2 linked regions of the Rattus norvegicus genome follow. The protein of the gene in region 1 interacts with the protein of each later gene in a pairwise test. Links are inferred from orthologs where the notes say so. Each region holds a gene or a part of one and is shown in the gene's direction. Other genes may lie near its edges.

What was found.
Region 2: the proteins of Lzts2 (region 1) and Rin1 interact in binary tests that used the Homo sapiens proteins (3 or more experiments, as listed by UniProt). The two-hybrid records come from large-scale screens. The link is inferred for Rattus norvegicus from reciprocal best matches to the Homo sapiens genes LZTS2 and RIN1.

Annotation. Positions count from the first base shown.
Region 1 is NC_086019.1:253,829,060-253,837,473, forward strand, and holds the start of Lzts2 (leucine zipper putative tumor suppressor 2), read left to right. Parts: upstream 1-3,039; 5' UTR 3,040-3,081; coding exon 3,082-3,489; intron 3,490-5,037; coding exon 5,038-5,700; intron 5,701-6,160; coding exon 6,161-6,418; intron 6,419-7,287; coding exon 7,288-7,971; 3' UTR 7,972-8,414. UniProt on the Homo sapiens protein: Negative regulator of katanin-mediated microtubule severing and release from the centrosome. Required for central spindle formation and the completion of cytokinesis.
Region 2 is NC_086019.1:211,782,843-211,790,235, forward strand, and holds Rin1 (ras and Rab interactor 1), read left to right. Parts: upstream 1-2,264; 5' UTR 2,265-2,400; coding exon 2,401-2,555; intron 2,556-2,699; coding exon 2,700-2,880; intron 2,881-2,979; coding exon 2,980-3,094; intron 3,095-3,183; coding exon 3,184-3,256; intron 3,257-3,366; coding exon 3,367-3,458; intron 3,459-3,594; coding exon 3,595-4,335; intron 4,336-4,583; coding exon 4,584-4,889; intron 4,890-5,201; coding exon 5,202-5,333; intron 5,334-5,467; coding exon 5,468-5,619; intron 5,620-6,447; coding exon 6,448-6,897; 3' UTR 6,898-6,913; downstream 6,914-7,393. UniProt on the Homo sapiens protein: Ras effector protein, which may serve as an inhibitory modulator of neuronal plasticity in aversive memory formation. Can affect Ras signaling at different levels. First, by competing with RAF1 protein for binding to activated Ras.

The DNA of each region.
Region 1 (8,414 bases):
GGGCGGGGGCTGGTCAGGGCCGGGGGCGCCGGCTAGGCGGAGGCGGGGCCGAGCTGGGCAGCTCCGAGTGGCCGCGCGCGCGGGCTGGAGCGGGCGGCGCGCCTGTGGAGTGCTGGGGCGGCCCGGGGCTGAGCATGGAGCAGCGCGGCGGAGGTGAGGGGTCCAGGGCTGAGGGTGCCCCAACTTCTAAGCGATGCGGTCCGGTGGGGAGGTGGCATTCCATAGACGCCCCCAATTCATGGAAGGAGAGGACTATTATGGGTGGGCCGGGGACTCTGGGCTTCAGTCTCGGAATGAAAACTCGTGATCCCAGACTGGATCCTGCTTGACTGGTCTCTGGAGTTTGAGTGTATGTGTTAGGGGGACTTTCCCCAACTCTCCAACCCCAGCCCTGAGGTCAGAGAGTTGGAACGTGGGCCAGACTTATCTCAGGCCCTGGCGCGGCCCCAGATTCTAGAACCCCCAGCCCACTTGCTAGGGTGAGGGCATAGGGGTCTTTATACCATAGTGATAGGTCAGGGAGTGCTAGGGAGAGCCAGGGGTTTCTTTTTCCCACAGCTACAAACGCATTTCTCAAAATGGAGCCGCTTGCCCCTCCTTCTCTCTTGGGCCTCAAGAGCGGGAGCCAGGCTGGCTAGGCCTGGCTTTCCAGACGCCTGGCCCTCAGAGCCCTCAGGGCCCAGTTTTACGTTCCCTTGGCTTGCAGGGTCCTTGCCTGTGTAGCTTCAGCGACCCTAACTCAGGGGTCTGCCTGGGGCTCCTCGTGTCTGAGTCTCTTGGCCTCTTTGTCTCTTCTGTCTTGTCTCTGAGTGCCTTGCCCTTCCTTCTGGGTCTTTCTGTCTACCCCGGAGTAGGGACAGGAGTGCCAGCTCTTTCTCACTCTTCTCTCTATACTGTGGAGCAGTCTCTATCCCTAGGCTGGACCTGATGGGGGCGATCTCAGTACCTAGCCCGACAGAGAAGTATGTAGTTGCTTCTTGTACCCATTTCACTTCCTACCCTAGCTCTCAGCAACTCTGTCCTCAAGCTGGACTCCTGTGACTCTGAGCTGTGTCTTAACACTGAGGGCACTTAATGGAGAACAATATAGAAAGATTAGATGGGGCAAGAACTTCCAACACTGTGATCTCACCTTTCCTCGAACTCTTAGGTTTAAAAAAAGAAAAAGTTTTAGGGAGGAGCTCCCAGTCACTCCCGGTGGCCTTGAATGTCAAGAAGGTCCCAAGGCACTCCCAGAATACTCACACGTACAGATTACTCCAAATAAGCTTTCACGCCCTTTCCTTGTGTAAAATACATACATTGGAGTCCATGTAACTGTCCTGGGAGAAATGAAGACGTTCTGTAGAGATTTGCCTCTCAATCTGAGAGGCTTGACTCAATGGACCCCAGAAAAATGAGGATTACCCTAGGAATTCCACGCTGAAAGGAGAAAATAAATGGCTTATTGAGGATGGCTGGTTGAAACCAACTCGGGGCTCACATTTGGTGATATTTACACAAAACTCACATATATGTAGACAAACGTATATCCAACCATTTTCTTGTCATATAGTGACATTCAGAGCCCACAGATTCATTTGTTACATACACATTAACAACATCTGTTGCTTCCTAAGTTATGAAACTCGTAGTCTTGTAAAACATAAGAACTCACACATCTAGCACTCAGGAGGCAGAGGCAGGTGGATCTCTGAGTTCAAGGCCAGCCTGGTCTACAGAGCAAGTTCCAGGGCAGCCAGGGCTACATGGAGAAACCCTGTCTTGGAAAAGCAAACAAACAAAACAAAAGAATTCACATGTACAGCTGAGCATAGGAGCACAAGGTTAGAATCCCAGCTGTCTGAGGCAAGAGGATCCCTGAGTTTGAGGCCCACTTGTGGTGCATGGCACAACCCTGTTTGTTTTTGTCATGTCCCCCTACATCTCGTGTGTGTGTGTGTGTGTGTGTGTGTGTGTGTGTGTGTGTGCACGAACTATCTGCCTAAACTCATACTGCATATTTTCATGTACGTTTTCACAGATTCTCTTCATTTTTATGGTCCTGTCTATGTACTCACACCACAAGTGTACACATACACACTCTCTCATGGAGGCCTCTGTCCACTTCTTGGCCCCTGAGCTACATGATGACTTCAGCAGATGCCTAAGTCTTGGTCATCGGCAGCCTTGGGACTGGGAGGGAGTTCCGGGTGCAGGCTTGCTATCCTTCCCAGGAAGGAGCAAGACTGAGGATGGGGGGTGGGGGTGGAGCCATCTTCCTTGAGATCCTACCAGATGTGGTAATGGGCTCCTGCTCAAATTCCATAGGAGTTATTCCGAAGATCAACTAAAGCAGGAAGGTTTATAAAGGTTGACAGTGGGACAGGGCCTGTGTAGGCTACCTTAGTCCCAAGTGATGGCAGAAGCTAAGAGTTGACATAGAAACAAGCACAGCCTATATCGACCTCTGGGAAGTAGGAGACCCCAGAGGGCATCTGTGGGTTCCTAAGACCTGTGAGGTTTCCTGTTTGGCCAGCTCCACCCTCAACGCCGCCTGAGTGTCTGGGAGAAACTGAGGCCTAGCAGTGGGAGGCTGGACAGTGCCTGGCTTTGGTTCTTTGTTCCCTAATTACCATCTGAGTTACTGATTGTATCCCTGACTTGTCCTCTGCCCAAATAGCCCAGGAATGAGGCCACCTGTCCCAAGAGAGTAGGGACATGTACTGGGAGCTAGTAGTTAGGGATCTCTGCCCAATCTGAGACTTCGCTATATAGGGGATACAGGTTTGGGCTTAACTGGGTCTCCTCTGTCAAGGAACCCTGCATAACCTCTTAGTTCTCCCATTCTTTCATCTCTGTTTGGTTGAGTTGTTCCTTATCCTTGTTCCAGACTAGAGTTGAGGCCCAGAGGGACTTGAGGTTCATTGCCAGTTCTTGGGAGGTGAAGCTGTTTCACTATATGGGGAATGTTCTATCTGGAAGAGGGGGTCAGGAGAAGGCTAATAGGGGGAGGATCCTCAAGGTGCAGGGACTCTGACGCCAATGCCTTGCTCGCAGGTTGCCCTGGAGGCCCCTGGCCAGGCCTGAACCTCTGCCACCATGGCCATTGTGCACACTCTGCCAGTGCCACTGGAGCCCGCACGTGAGACAGCCACTGCCCCACAAACTCCAGCAATGGGCAGCGTGAGCAGTCTTATCTCAGGCCGGCCCTGTCCTGGGGGACCTGCTCCTCAACGCCACCATGGTGTCCCTGGGCCTACCTTCTTCCGCCAGCAGGATGGGCTGCTCCGGGGTGGCTATGAGGCCCAGGAACCACTCTGCCCAGCTGTGCCACCCAGGAAGACTGTCCCAGGCAACAGCTTTACCTATGTCAATGAGGACTTCCGGACAGAGTCACCTCCCAGCCCAAGCAGTGATGTCGAAGATCCCCGAGAACATCAGGCACACAATGCCCACCTCCGTGGGCCCCCACCAAAGCTCATCCCTGTCTCTGGAAGGCTGGAGAAGGTAACGGGCAGCCCTCTTGGGAGGATCTGGGTGGGGTCGAGCTCCCCGCTGGGGAAGCTAGAATTTGGAGGCATGGACTCTGTCTTATCTCTCTTTCTGGCTCAGGGAGATAACCTGTCTGAGCCCCATTTTCTGTGTCTTTACAGTTAAGGTTAGAGGATAATCTTTATAGGCTCCTGTTAGAATTAATACTCCCAAATGAACAATATAGTAGTTCGTGTTTCTCTCTCTCTCTCTCTCTCTCTCTCTCTCTCTCTCTCTCTCTCTCTCTCTTTTGGTGTTTGAGACAGGGTTTTTCTCTGTAGCTTGACTGTCTTGGAACTCACTATGTAGACCAGGCTGGCCTTGAACTCACAGAGATCTGCTTGCTTCTGCCTCCCAAGTACTGGGATTAAAGGCATTTGTTACCACTTCCAGCCAAGTTGCTTTAGTTATTATAGAGGTGTGTGGTGTGGTATGGTGTGGTGTTGTGTGTGTGTGTGTGTGTGTGTGTGTGTGTGTGTGTGTGTGCGTGCGCGTGCGTGTGTGTGTTTGGGCGAAGCCTTTGTTTACCTTTATTCTGGGACTGACTCTATCCTGTTTTTAGTAGGAGAGGAGGATAATGTTTTGCTTGCGTGGCTATTATCATGATTAAAAATAAGCATTTTGAATTACTTAACATAAGTAGACGTTTAGAAACGGTGCCGCCGGGGTTGGGGATTTAGCTCAGTGGTAGAGCACTTGCCTAGCAAGCACAAGGCCCTGGGTTTGGTCCCCAGCTCCAAAAAGAAAGAGAGAGAGAGAGAGAGAGAGAGAAAGAAAGAAAGAAAGAAACGGTGGGAACCATTGTTTTTCATTTATAGGGGTGAGAACCCTGTATGGGAAAGCCAAGTAGTATGATGATTTTGTAAGATCAAGGTGGGCCAGAGAGATGGCTCAGAGGTTAAGAGCACTGACTGCTCTTCCAGAGGTCCTGAGTTCAAATCCTAGCAACCACATGGTAGCTCACAACCATCTGTAATGGGATCCGATGCCCTCTTCTGGTGTGTCTGAAGACAGTGACAGTGTACTCATACACGTTCCTAAGTTCAGATCCAGTACCCATATAAAAAGGTGGCCGTTGTGGCAAAGGACTGGAATCTCAGCACTTGTCAGGCAGAGACAGGCAGATCCCTGGGGCTTGCTAGCCAGTCAAGACTAGCTGGATTGATGAAATCCAGGTCCAGAGATTGTGTAAAAACTTAGGTGGGAAGTGATTGAGGAAAGCTCCTAACTTTGACACTTTGACATTTGATCTTCACACATAGGCACCACGTATCCATACTCATACATATGCACCCCCCTCTGTGTGTGTGTGTGTGTGTGTGTGTGTGTTTTGAAAGATCAAGTAAGCAAAGTGGGCTTGGTATCACACACCTGTAATCTTGAAGGGCTTGTGTTCAAGGGGATACATAGTGAGTGGACCCAGGCCAATAGAGTAAAACCCTGTCTCACAACAATACTAAATTTTTTAAAAAGAAAGGGGTCGGGCAGATCATCCTCACAGTGTCACATGCTACCTCATTTCAGAATATGGAGAAGATCCTGATCCGACCAACAGCCTTCAAGCCAGTGCTACCCAAACCTCGAGGGGCGCCATCCCTACCTGGCTTCCTTGGTCCTCGAGCTGCTGGGCTATCTGGGAGCCAGGGCAGCCTGACACAGCTGTTTGGGGGGCCAGCCTCTTCCTCCTCCTCTTCCTCTTCCTCCTCTGCTACTGACAAACCCTTGGCACTCAGCGGTTGGGCCAGTGGCTGCCCTTCAGGAACACTGTCAGACTCTGGCCGAAATTCTTTATCAAGCTTGCCCACCTACAGCACCGGAGGTGCCGAGCCAACTGCCAACTCCCCAGGTGGGCACCTGCCCTCCCACGGCCCTGGCCGAGGGCCACTGCCTGGTCCAGCCCGAGGGGTCCCTACTGGGCCCTCCCATTCAGACAGTGGCCGGTCCTCCTCCAGCAAAAGCACAGGTTCCTTGGGGGCTCGTGTAGCTGGGGGGCTCTTGGGCAGTGGGGCCCGGGCCTCCCCTGGCAGCAGTTCGGGTGGAGACCGCTCCCCACCCCCTCCACCACCTCCACCCCCTTCGGATGAGGCCTTGCTACACTGTGTCCTGGAAGGGAAGCTTCGAGACCGAGAGGCAGAGCTGCAGCAGCTGCGGGACAGTGTGGATGAGAGTGAGGCCGCCGTGTGTCAGGTGCGGCCAGTGGCAGTCCTGGGGCGGTGTGGCTGAATACCCAGGGCCTAGGGACAATTCCTGTTGGGGAGGAAGAGGGTAAAGACTCATGATGTGACACCCCCAAGGCTATGAGCATAACCTTCAAAGCAGTGAGGAGGCAAGGTATGTGAATTGGATCCAGCACTGGCTTGTAGGATGTTAGATTTGAGCAAGTTGCTTAACCTCACCCAGCCCCAGTTTCCCTGTCTAAATGGGGATAGCTGTTACTCCCTAAAGGGGTTATGAAGATTAAATAAGACGAAAGGGATAAAGTACTTAGAATAATGCCTGTCACCTAGGAAATGCCATATAAGTGCCTGCTTTTATGGTTGTCCTAATTCACTGGATTCAGGCCAGGCAGGGAGCCACCCAAGCAGAAGATGCTAGAACTCACGATTTGGGGGGACCCAACCGTTTCTAGCCTTCTGTCTTTGTCTAGGCATTCGGGGCACGGCAGCGGCGCTGGCCAGGAGAACGAGAGGACTGTGCCTCTCACGCACAGCAGGCCACACAGCGTGTCCAGCGGGCTCAACAGCTGCTACAACTGCAAGTGTTCCAGCTGCAGCAAGAGAAGCGCCAGTTGCAGGATGACTTCGCCCAGCTGCTGCAGGAGCGAGAGCAGCTGGAGCGCCGCTGTGCTACTTTTGAAAGGGAGCAGCAGGAACTTGGGCCACGGCTAGAGGAGACCAAATGGGAGGTATGCAAGATGGGCACTGGGTGGGCTGGAGGGATGGCTCAACGCTTAAGAGCACTGACTGCTCTTCCAGAGGTCCTGAGTTCAATTCCCAGCAACCACATGGTGGCTCACAACCATCTGTAAACTTCTGGTGTGTCTGAAGACAGCTACAATGTTCTGATATACATAAAAAATAAATATATTAAAAATAAAGATGGGTACTGGGCAGGCTGAAGGGGTTACACTAAGATACACAGAGGTGTGGCCAGTGTTTAGCTACCTTCCAGGGTCTGTCCTTCCTATTCTTTCTGTGTTGGGGGTTTCCCTGTTCCTCTGTTGTTCTCAGAGTTGTGATCTAGCACCCACATAGCTAGTGGTGTTTCCTTCTATGATAGATGGGTACTGTTAATCCCTCTGTTTCCACTCCTGCAGCCTCCGTCTCCAGGCCTGGGCCTTGTTTATACAGCATCTGGTATAAGGATCCCAGCACTGAAAAGAAATGACCTGGGTCTCTGTTCCCCTATCACCTCTTTTTTTTTTTTTTTTTAACATTTATTTATTATGTATAGTCATACAGCTTTCTACCTGCATGTATGCCTGCAGGCCAGAAGAGGGCACCAGACCTGATTATAGATGGTTATGAGCCACCATGTGGTTGCTGGGAATTGAACTCAGGACCTCTGGAAGAGCAGACAGTGCTCTTAACCTCTGAGCCATCTCTCCAGCCCCCCCCCCCCTTTCACCTCTTAATAGAAGTATAACCATGGACGTATCACTAGGCTCTCCTGCTGGGCTTCTGTGTGTAAACTCCTGAGACAGCATTTCCTTGAATGCCCGGTGCCCAACACCCAGAGGCCTCACCATCTTCCCTCAATACTTTTCACCTACAGGTGTGTCAGAAATCAGGTGAGATCTCCCTTCTGAAGCAGCAACTGAAGGAATCTCAGGCAGAGCTGGTCCAGAAGGGTAGTGAGCTGGTGGCGCTGCGGGTGGCCCTTCGAGAGGCCCGGGCTGCCTTGCGGGTCAGTGAGGGCCGTGCCCGGGGCCTGCAGGAGGCAGCCCGAGCTCGGGAGCTGGAGCTGGAGGCCTGCTCACAGGAGCTACAGCGGTACCGCCAGGAGGCTGAGCAGCTCCGGGAGAAGGCTAGGCATTTGGATGCTGAAGCAGCAGGACTCCGGGAGCCCCCTGTACCCCCGGCTACCACCGACCCGTTCCTCCTGGCGGAGAGTGATGAGGCTAAGGTGCAGCGGGCAGCCGCTGGGACAGGGGGTAGCCTGCGGGCTCAGGTGGAACGGTTGCGCCAAGAACTGCAGCGGGAGCAGCGGCGGGGAGATGAACAACGGAACAGCTTTGAGGGGGAGCGGCTGGCCTGGCAGGCGGAGAAGGAACAGGTGATCCGCTACCAGAAGCAGCTGCAGCACAACTATGTCCAGATGTACCGGCGTAACCGACAGCTGGAGCAGGAACTGCAGCAACTGAGCCTAGAGCTGGAGGCCCGGGAGCTTGCTGATTTGGGCTTGTCGGAGCCGGCCCCTTGCATCTGTCTGGAGGAGATCACTGCCACTGAAATCTAGGACTTTGCAAGGGGTGCGAGCCACCGCACCACCTGCACCGGGATCCATCGAGCAAGCGCTCCAGGTCTCAGAGCCAAAAGGCCTCTGCCGAGCATTCGGGTGGCCCCATAACTTGGAGAAGCAGAATCAACCCCCCTGCAGTTCAGTGTCACTGTCACCCAGAGGCTCCTGCCTACGCTGCCATTTCACTCCCCACCGCCGCCACTGCCAGTCCACTCCAGCTGGGAAAGGAAAGGGGGCTAACCTGTCCCCACATTCTACCTGCCTGAAGCCAGAGAGAACCAGATGGCACCAGCTGCCCCAGATGTGCCTGCCCTCAATATGCCCACGTGGAGGGGCGGGACTAGGAATGGGGCTGATCCCCATGTCCCAGCTCCGCAAGCCTCTTGTGGGCTGAGGGGGCTGAAGTCAGACCAAAGGAAGAACTCAGCAATGTCTTGTTT
Region 2 (7,393 bases), about 42 Mb from region 1:
TGCTTCCCACTCCTTCACCTGGCCCCTGTGCCAGGTCTCATGTCCGAGGATGCCCCCGTGCCAGCTCTAGTATCCAAGGATGCCCCTGTGTCAGCTCTAGTATCCGAGGATGCCCCCATGCCAGCTCTAGTATCCGAGGGTGCCCCCGTGCCAGCTCTAGTATCCGAGGATGTCCCCGTGCCAGCTCTAGTATCCAAGGATGCCCCCGTGCCAGCTCTAGTATCCAAGGATGCCCCTGTGTCAGCTCTAGTATCCGAGGATGCTCCTGTGTCAGCTCTAGTATCCGAGGATAACCCCCGTGCCAGCTCTAGTATCCAAGGATAACCCCCGTGCCAGCTCTAGTATCCAAGGACTAGTATCCAAGGATAACCCCTGTGCCAGCTCTAGTATCCGAGGATGCCCAGGCAGTTCTCTGCTTGCGCCTCAGCAACATCTATCTCAGCCCAGGTGCCCTGACTCTGTGGAAGTTTGTAGTCCTCCTGCTTAGAGACTGCCCTGAGGAAGGGGTGTTCGTGTCAGCCCTTGTTCCAGGAGGGCTGGAAGAAGAGGGGCAGCTGCTGGGCTGGCCTCCAAGCCGAGACACTTTGGGGCTTGGTGTAGAAGATTTTTATACTTCATACAACTTGACTCAGAGAGGCTTTTATCCTGGTCTGTGGGGGGCAGTATCAACAAGCTATAATGGACTCTAAGGGACCCTTTCTTCTCTCCACCCAGGCCAGGGCAGCAGTGTCCCCTCAGAAGAGAAAAGCAGATGGTAAGAACCGCAGACACAGGCTTGTCAGAATTGGTAGCCTGATCTGACTTTGAGGGTTTTGTGGGAGTTTGAGGAATAGAATCCAGGTTGGAGAAGCTCTTGGCTGAGGGAGCAAGAACATGGAGAGGTGGAGGTGTAGCTCAGTGGTAGTGCTCTCGCCTAGCATGGGCAGGAACCCAGTCCCAGGCTGCACACCACAAGAAGGTAAAAGTGCCTGGAGCCCCCAGGCAGGGTGGAGCAGAGAGAGCAGTAAGAAGAGACCCTTATGGATGAAGGGAGTAAGGCACTTCCCTCAGTGCCTTCAGGAAGTGGTGGTTGTCATTTTCTTTCAACGTCCTTCTACCCTTCTAGGACCCTGACCCTGCATTTACACTCGGAGGGTCCTTGGGGCAGCTGGCACCGCACACAGGATTAACGTTTCTCTGCAAAGGCAGGGGGTTACTTACTGCTGGACTCCTCTGCTCTCCTTGGGATCTGTATAACCAACCGGCCCTGACGCTGACCTGGCCAAGCAAGACCGTTGTCTCCATCCCTGAGCAGCCCACCCCTCCCCAAAGAGTAACTTCTCAGTGTCCCCCACAAGAAGACAGGCCTCATCCAGAGTCAAAGCAGCAACCCTCCTGACTAAACCCTGGTCCTTGGCCACTGAGTCATGAGCCAGGCCCCGCTGCAGGAGGGACTCCTGCCAGAGACATGTTGGGTCTTGCCCATCCTAACTGCCACTGGGGAGTTGGCTTCCCAGGCTTTCTCAGGGCCATTCCTGGTGTCTGCCTCTCAGATCCCAAGGACTGGAATAAAATTGGACCTGGATATGACTGCTGTGTGGTTGTTGTATCTTACAAGGGAATCAAGGCTTTTGTGGGGAGCACCTAAGACAGACTTCTGGGGTCCCTACAGTTTGAGACATTAGTTCTTAGAGAAAAGCCTGAGGAAGGAAGTTGGGACCAGGGCAGGCAAACAGTCGAAGCACGTGGCCTCGGGTGGGGAAGGGGCTTCTGCACATTTCTGGAGGTCAGGTCATGTCTGCACCTGCCCCAAACACTTGGCAAATTGGCAAGGCGGGCTAGCTAGCAGGGTCTGTGTGTGGGAGACAGCTAGCAGCAGCACCATGTGCTGTCGACCTCACAGCCACACGCCCCCTCTGCTTAGCAGTGAGTGTCAGAACCACCCCCAGAACCTCAGTTAAGCAAAGAGCTTAGTTTCCATGGAGACACAGCATCCTTTCTCCATAGCAACCTGAAATCACAAAACCCAAGTTAGATTCAGGAATGAGTCATCTGCAACCAGTAGGGGGTGCTCTCCCACAAGGCTGACCCCGCCTTCAAGGCTGGAACAGATGAGCCAGTGACCACAGACTTCTTAAGGTGACCCAGGGGTGCGGCTTGGGCCTGTGGGAACTTGGTTGGCCGTGTTTAACCCCTCCCTATCCCACTGCATAGTGTGAGGAGGCTACAGGAAGTGCTGTGTGGAGGTGCTCCTCCCACAGCGGGGGCCCTGATAGACTCTAGTGTGGAAGCCTCTGCCATTCAAGACTGGGCCAAGAGCAAAAGAAGTGGACACTGGCTACATGGAGTGGACATACAAGAGTTAACTGGCGGGGTGTGACCGGGCGAACCGCCTTCAGGAAGTGTTACTCACCGCCAGGAATGTGCACGCCTGTGCCTTGGGGGTTGGATTCTCTTCCTGAGTCCCAGGAGAAGCTGAAGGAGCTCCCAGCCATGGAAGACCCTGGTGAGACCGAAGCACACCCTCTGGGAGCCACCAGCCTGAACTTTGTACCTGGGTACCAACAGGAAGAAAAGTTAGTAAAGTCGGGAGATCAGCCAGGTGCAGGGGGTGAGGGCAGTTATAGGAAGATCTGGCAAGGACAGGAGAGATGGGAAGCCCCAAATGGGAAGAGGTGTTCACCCAAGACCCCTACTCAAGTCTGGGTGTCTGCCCCCAGGCCATCTCCAGACCCACTGTATGACACACCTGATGCCAGAGGGGTTCAGGCAGGCGGGTCCCAACAACCAGCACGCACAGTGAGCTTGCGGGAGCGGCTGCTGATCACCCGGCCTGTGTGGTTACAGCTGCGGGCCAACGCTGCAGCCGCACTGCACGTGCTGAGGACAGAGCCTCCGGGGGTGAGTCTCTCCCGTTCCTAAAGGTCTAGCCGGACAAGACTGGGAGGGAAAGGGCCTGGACGTGGAGATCCTGAGCCTCCTAATCTTGATCACTCGCAGACCTTCCTGGTGCGGAAATCTAACACTCGCCAGTGCCAGACTCTATGTGTGCGGCTGCCAGAAGCTAGTGGCCCCTCTTTTGTCTCCAGCCACTATCTCCAAGAGAGTCCTGGCGGTGAGGAGGGTGGCCTAGAGGGAAGGGGCTGGAAGACAGGCAGGGGAGGGAGGTTCCCAGAGAACGGCCTCACTCCCAATGTCTCTCAGGCATCTCTTTGGAGGGCTCAGAGCTCACATTCCCGGACCTGGTCCAGCTCATCTGTGCATACTGTCATACCAGGTGAGCCTGCCAGCAGGGCACCTGGTGACCCCTGGGCCTGCCTCCAGGGACTGCCCACCCTCTGCATCTGAGCACCACTCTCTCTTGACTGCACTTTGCTCTGACCTTAGGGACATTCTTCTCCTCCCTCTCCGACTCCCCAGAGCCATTCATCAGGCAGCCACCCACAAAGAGCTGGAGGCCATCTCCCATCTGGGCATGGGTAAGGGTCCCCTGCAGCCTGTTACACAGATGGACACATAGAAGCCAAATGGGGGGAAGAAAGAACAACCAAGATTTTTCTTTGTGGGTACTCTCCAGAGCCAGCTCTGAGGTCCCCATTGGTTTCTGATTGCTAGAGTTCTGGAGTTCCTCTCTCAACACCAAGAACCAACAGAGACCTTCAGAAGCTCCGCAGATACCCCGGCTGAAGGCTCGCTCCCCTCAAGAGCTGGATCAGGGCACTGGTGCAGCCCTCTGCTTCTTCAACCCCCTCTTCCCCGGGGATCTGGGCCCCACCAAACGTGAGAAATTCAAGAGGAGTTTCAAAGTGCGTGTATCCACAGAGACCTCCAGCCCTCTGTCTCCACCTGCTGTGCCGCCTCCTCCAGTCCCCGTTCTGCCAGGGACATCTTCCAGCCAAACGGAAAGACTGCCCCCTCGACAGCTGCTGCAGAGGGAGAGCTCAGTGGGATACCGTGTGCCAGGAAGTGCTTCTGGTCCTAGTCTTCCTCCCCTACCTTCACTTCAGGAGGTGGACTGCTGCTCCCCCAGCAGCTCAGAGGAGGAGGGTTCTTCAGGAAGCCCTACAACCTCCCCACGCCTAAGCCGCCCAAGGCACCGGCGGCCTCTGCTTCGGTCCATGAGTTCTGCTTTCTGCTCTCTGCTGGCACCAGAGAGGCAGGTGGGCCGGGCAGCTACAATGCTAATGCACAACCGATACACAGCTGTGGGTCAGCTAGTGCAGGACCTATTGACCCAGGTTCGTGTTGGTCCTGAGTCCCGGGAGTTGCAGGGCATCCGACAGGCCCTGAGTCGGGCACGGGCCATGCTGAGTGCAGAGCTGGGCCCTGAGAAACTGCTACCACCAGAGCGGCTGGGTAAGGCCGAGCCCTGGCCTGCACCGGTTCATGTCCCTGGCTCTCCATCCTCCCCTGTCTCCCTCTCTCCTTGACTTTGGTACCTAATGACTGCTGCTTACCCTGCACCCCACCCCCACCCCTTCTCACTACTGGTGCAGGGAATTCCATCTTCTCCTCCTCACCCTTCTCCCTATCTCCTGTCTTGGCGAGGGACTCCTGCTTTTCCAGGCTTCTTTCCCCTGACAGCAACAACTCTCTTCTTGCAGAATTGGTCCTGGAGAAATCCCTGCATCGCTCTGTTCTCAAGCCTCTTCGACCCATTCTAGCTGCCCGCCTGCGGCGCCGACTTTCCACAGACGGTTCCCTTGGCCGCCTAGCTGAGGGCTTCCGCCTGGCCCGGACCCAGGGGCCTGGAGCCTTCGGGTCCCACCTGAACCTTTCTTCCCCAGTGGAGATAGAACCAGTGCGTCAGAAGCTGCTGCAGCTCCTTCGTGCCTACTCGCCTAGTGCCCAGATCAAGTGGCTCCTGCAGGCCTGCAAGTTGCTATACACAGCCCTGAAAACCCAGGCAGGTATGACCCCCTTACCCCAACCACTTCCCCCAGCTCCACTCTTTCAAAGTAGAGGCTGTGCACTACCCACTTCCACAGCAAGCCGGTTCCAGAACCCCAGAGCTGCAAGCAGCATAGAAGGATCCAATCCTCTATTCCAGGAACTCTAGAGAACATTGTCTTTCTTCCCTGTAACTTTCCCTGAGGTTGCTATGTTGGTCCTGGTCTGTTACCTAGTTACCTAGGGATCTAGCAGGCGGAGGGGAGGGGTCACTGTCTAGTGTGGCGATTGGGCCTCTGAGGAGGCTGGAACTTCTTCCCATGTCTCCACAGGGGAGAATGCAGGTGCTGATGAGTTCCTGCCTCTCTTGAGCCTTGTCTTGGCCCAGTGCGACCTTCCTGACCTCCTGTTAGAAGCTGAGTATATGTCAGAGCTACTGGAACCCACATTGCTCACTGGGGAGGGTAAGAGTTCCCTCGCTTCCTGTTGGGGTGAAACTGGGGCTTCTTAGCTGCTAGTAAGTTCTTAGTAATCAAGGAAGGAAAGGCAGGCCACCCTACCCCAGCCTGAGGTGCATTTTATGTATCCTGTGTCCCAGGCGGCTACTACCTGACCAGCCTCTCAGCCAGCCTGGCCTTGTTGAGTGGCCTAAGCCAGGCCCACGCACTGCCACTCAGCCCTGCCCAGGAGCTCCAACGTTCTCTGGCCCTCTGGGAACAGCGCCGCCTGCCGGCCACCCACAACTTCCAGGTAAAGGGCCCTTCCCCACGTCTTCCCCATACTGGCCATGCTTGGAGGGACTCTAACATTACCCAGCACAGTTCCTCTACCCAGCACAGTTCCTCTAGCCTTGCATCACCCTACAATAGAAATAAAGGCCCACCTGGGTATCAGAGCAGCCCTTCAGGAGAATGTGTTCCATGGGGCAGGCACTGGACTGTGAACTTCAGGGCAGCCTCCTTGAATCATCACAGAAACCCTGCAGAGGTAGGGCCATTGTTTTTCTCATTTTACAGATAAGGAAGTAGAAACTGATGTCAGAGTGACAGCTAATTCCTGTCCTCTAGCACCAGCTAAGGCTCTACCATCCTTGTCCTTGAGCTTCAGTCTTTGCTCCCATTTGGACCTCAGCCAGGGCACACCATCCTTGACCTTCAACCTTCTCAGTCTTGCCAGATCCCAGATTCATCCCAGCTCTATCACTTTTTGTCTGTGCCTTGGTTTTCTCATCTCTAAAATGGGCACCTTGGTTGCCATGAAGGGAAGGTGTACTAGTGAACTATGGGGGAATAGTTCTAGGTAGGTAGCCCCAGGAACAGTTATGGAGAGAGCCAAGCACACAGTGGACTTTCCTTATAGATCTTTTCATAAAGTCCCCTCTGGCTGGCCTTGCACCTATACCACTAGTCCGAACACATTTCTCCCTGCCCCAATGTCCCCCTTGGAGCCCACAAGTCAGTCAGATCTACCATGAATGTGTACCACCCCACTCTATCACTGCACAGCTTCAGCCTGTCCCTTGTGCTTTGGAGGTGACAACCAGACAGAGCTGAGGACTTGTTCTTACTTTCTGCACAGCACCTCCTCCGAGTAGCCTACCAGGACCCCAGCACAGGTTGCACCTCCAAGACCTTGGCTGTGCCCCCGGGGTCTTCGATTGCCACCCTGAGTCAACTCTGTGCCACCAAGTTCCGAGTGACCCAACCGGATGCATTTGGCCTCTTTCTCTACAAGGACCAGGGCTACCATCGCCTGCCCCCTGAAGCCCTAGTCCACAGGCTTCCCACAACTGGTTACCTCATCTACCGCCGGGCAGAGCGCCCCGAGACCCAGAGGGCTGCAACAGAGAAGACCAAGACAGGAAATGAGAGGCCAGAGGCAGGAGCATGGGAGGAGGAGAAAGGGGGTCTAAATGGTGAAGGGAAATCTGAGATAGCTGTTGACCAAGAAGGCAAGGATCAGGCCAGAGGAGGTCACATGCAGCTAGAGGAACAAAAGGCAGAGGGATGCCCGGCTTTAGAAGAGTAGCCAGGAACAGCTAAAAGGGTTACCTGGGTCTTCAGGAGCCTCTAAGTGCACTCTGCCCAGCTGCCGAGCTTCCTTCACTACCCACACACAGTTCTCTGTGGTGTCTGCCACTGCCTCTAGCTGATCTTCATGAGTCCACCTGCTAGGGAACAGGGAGCTCACCATATAGACGAGGGCAGCGTTAAAAGAGTTGGGAGACTGCCAGACCCTCTGTTCAAGGCCCCTGGCTTCTGTCTTCCCCTGTAACCCACAGGGATAAATGTGTCTGGTAAGGAAAAATTCCTCCTAATAGCCAGCTTCTGACATAGGGGGACAGTAATCCCGGCTTCTTTTGCCTCTCCCACTGCCCATGAGTACAGGCAGGTTCTGGAGCATCAAGACCTTTTACAGCTCCAGCCTCCTAGTTTCAGGGGTCAGGGAACCAGCGGAATGGCAGCAACACTCCCCAAACTAACAGCGCTACCCAGACACGGCATCTGCTGTTCAGAGAAGGGAT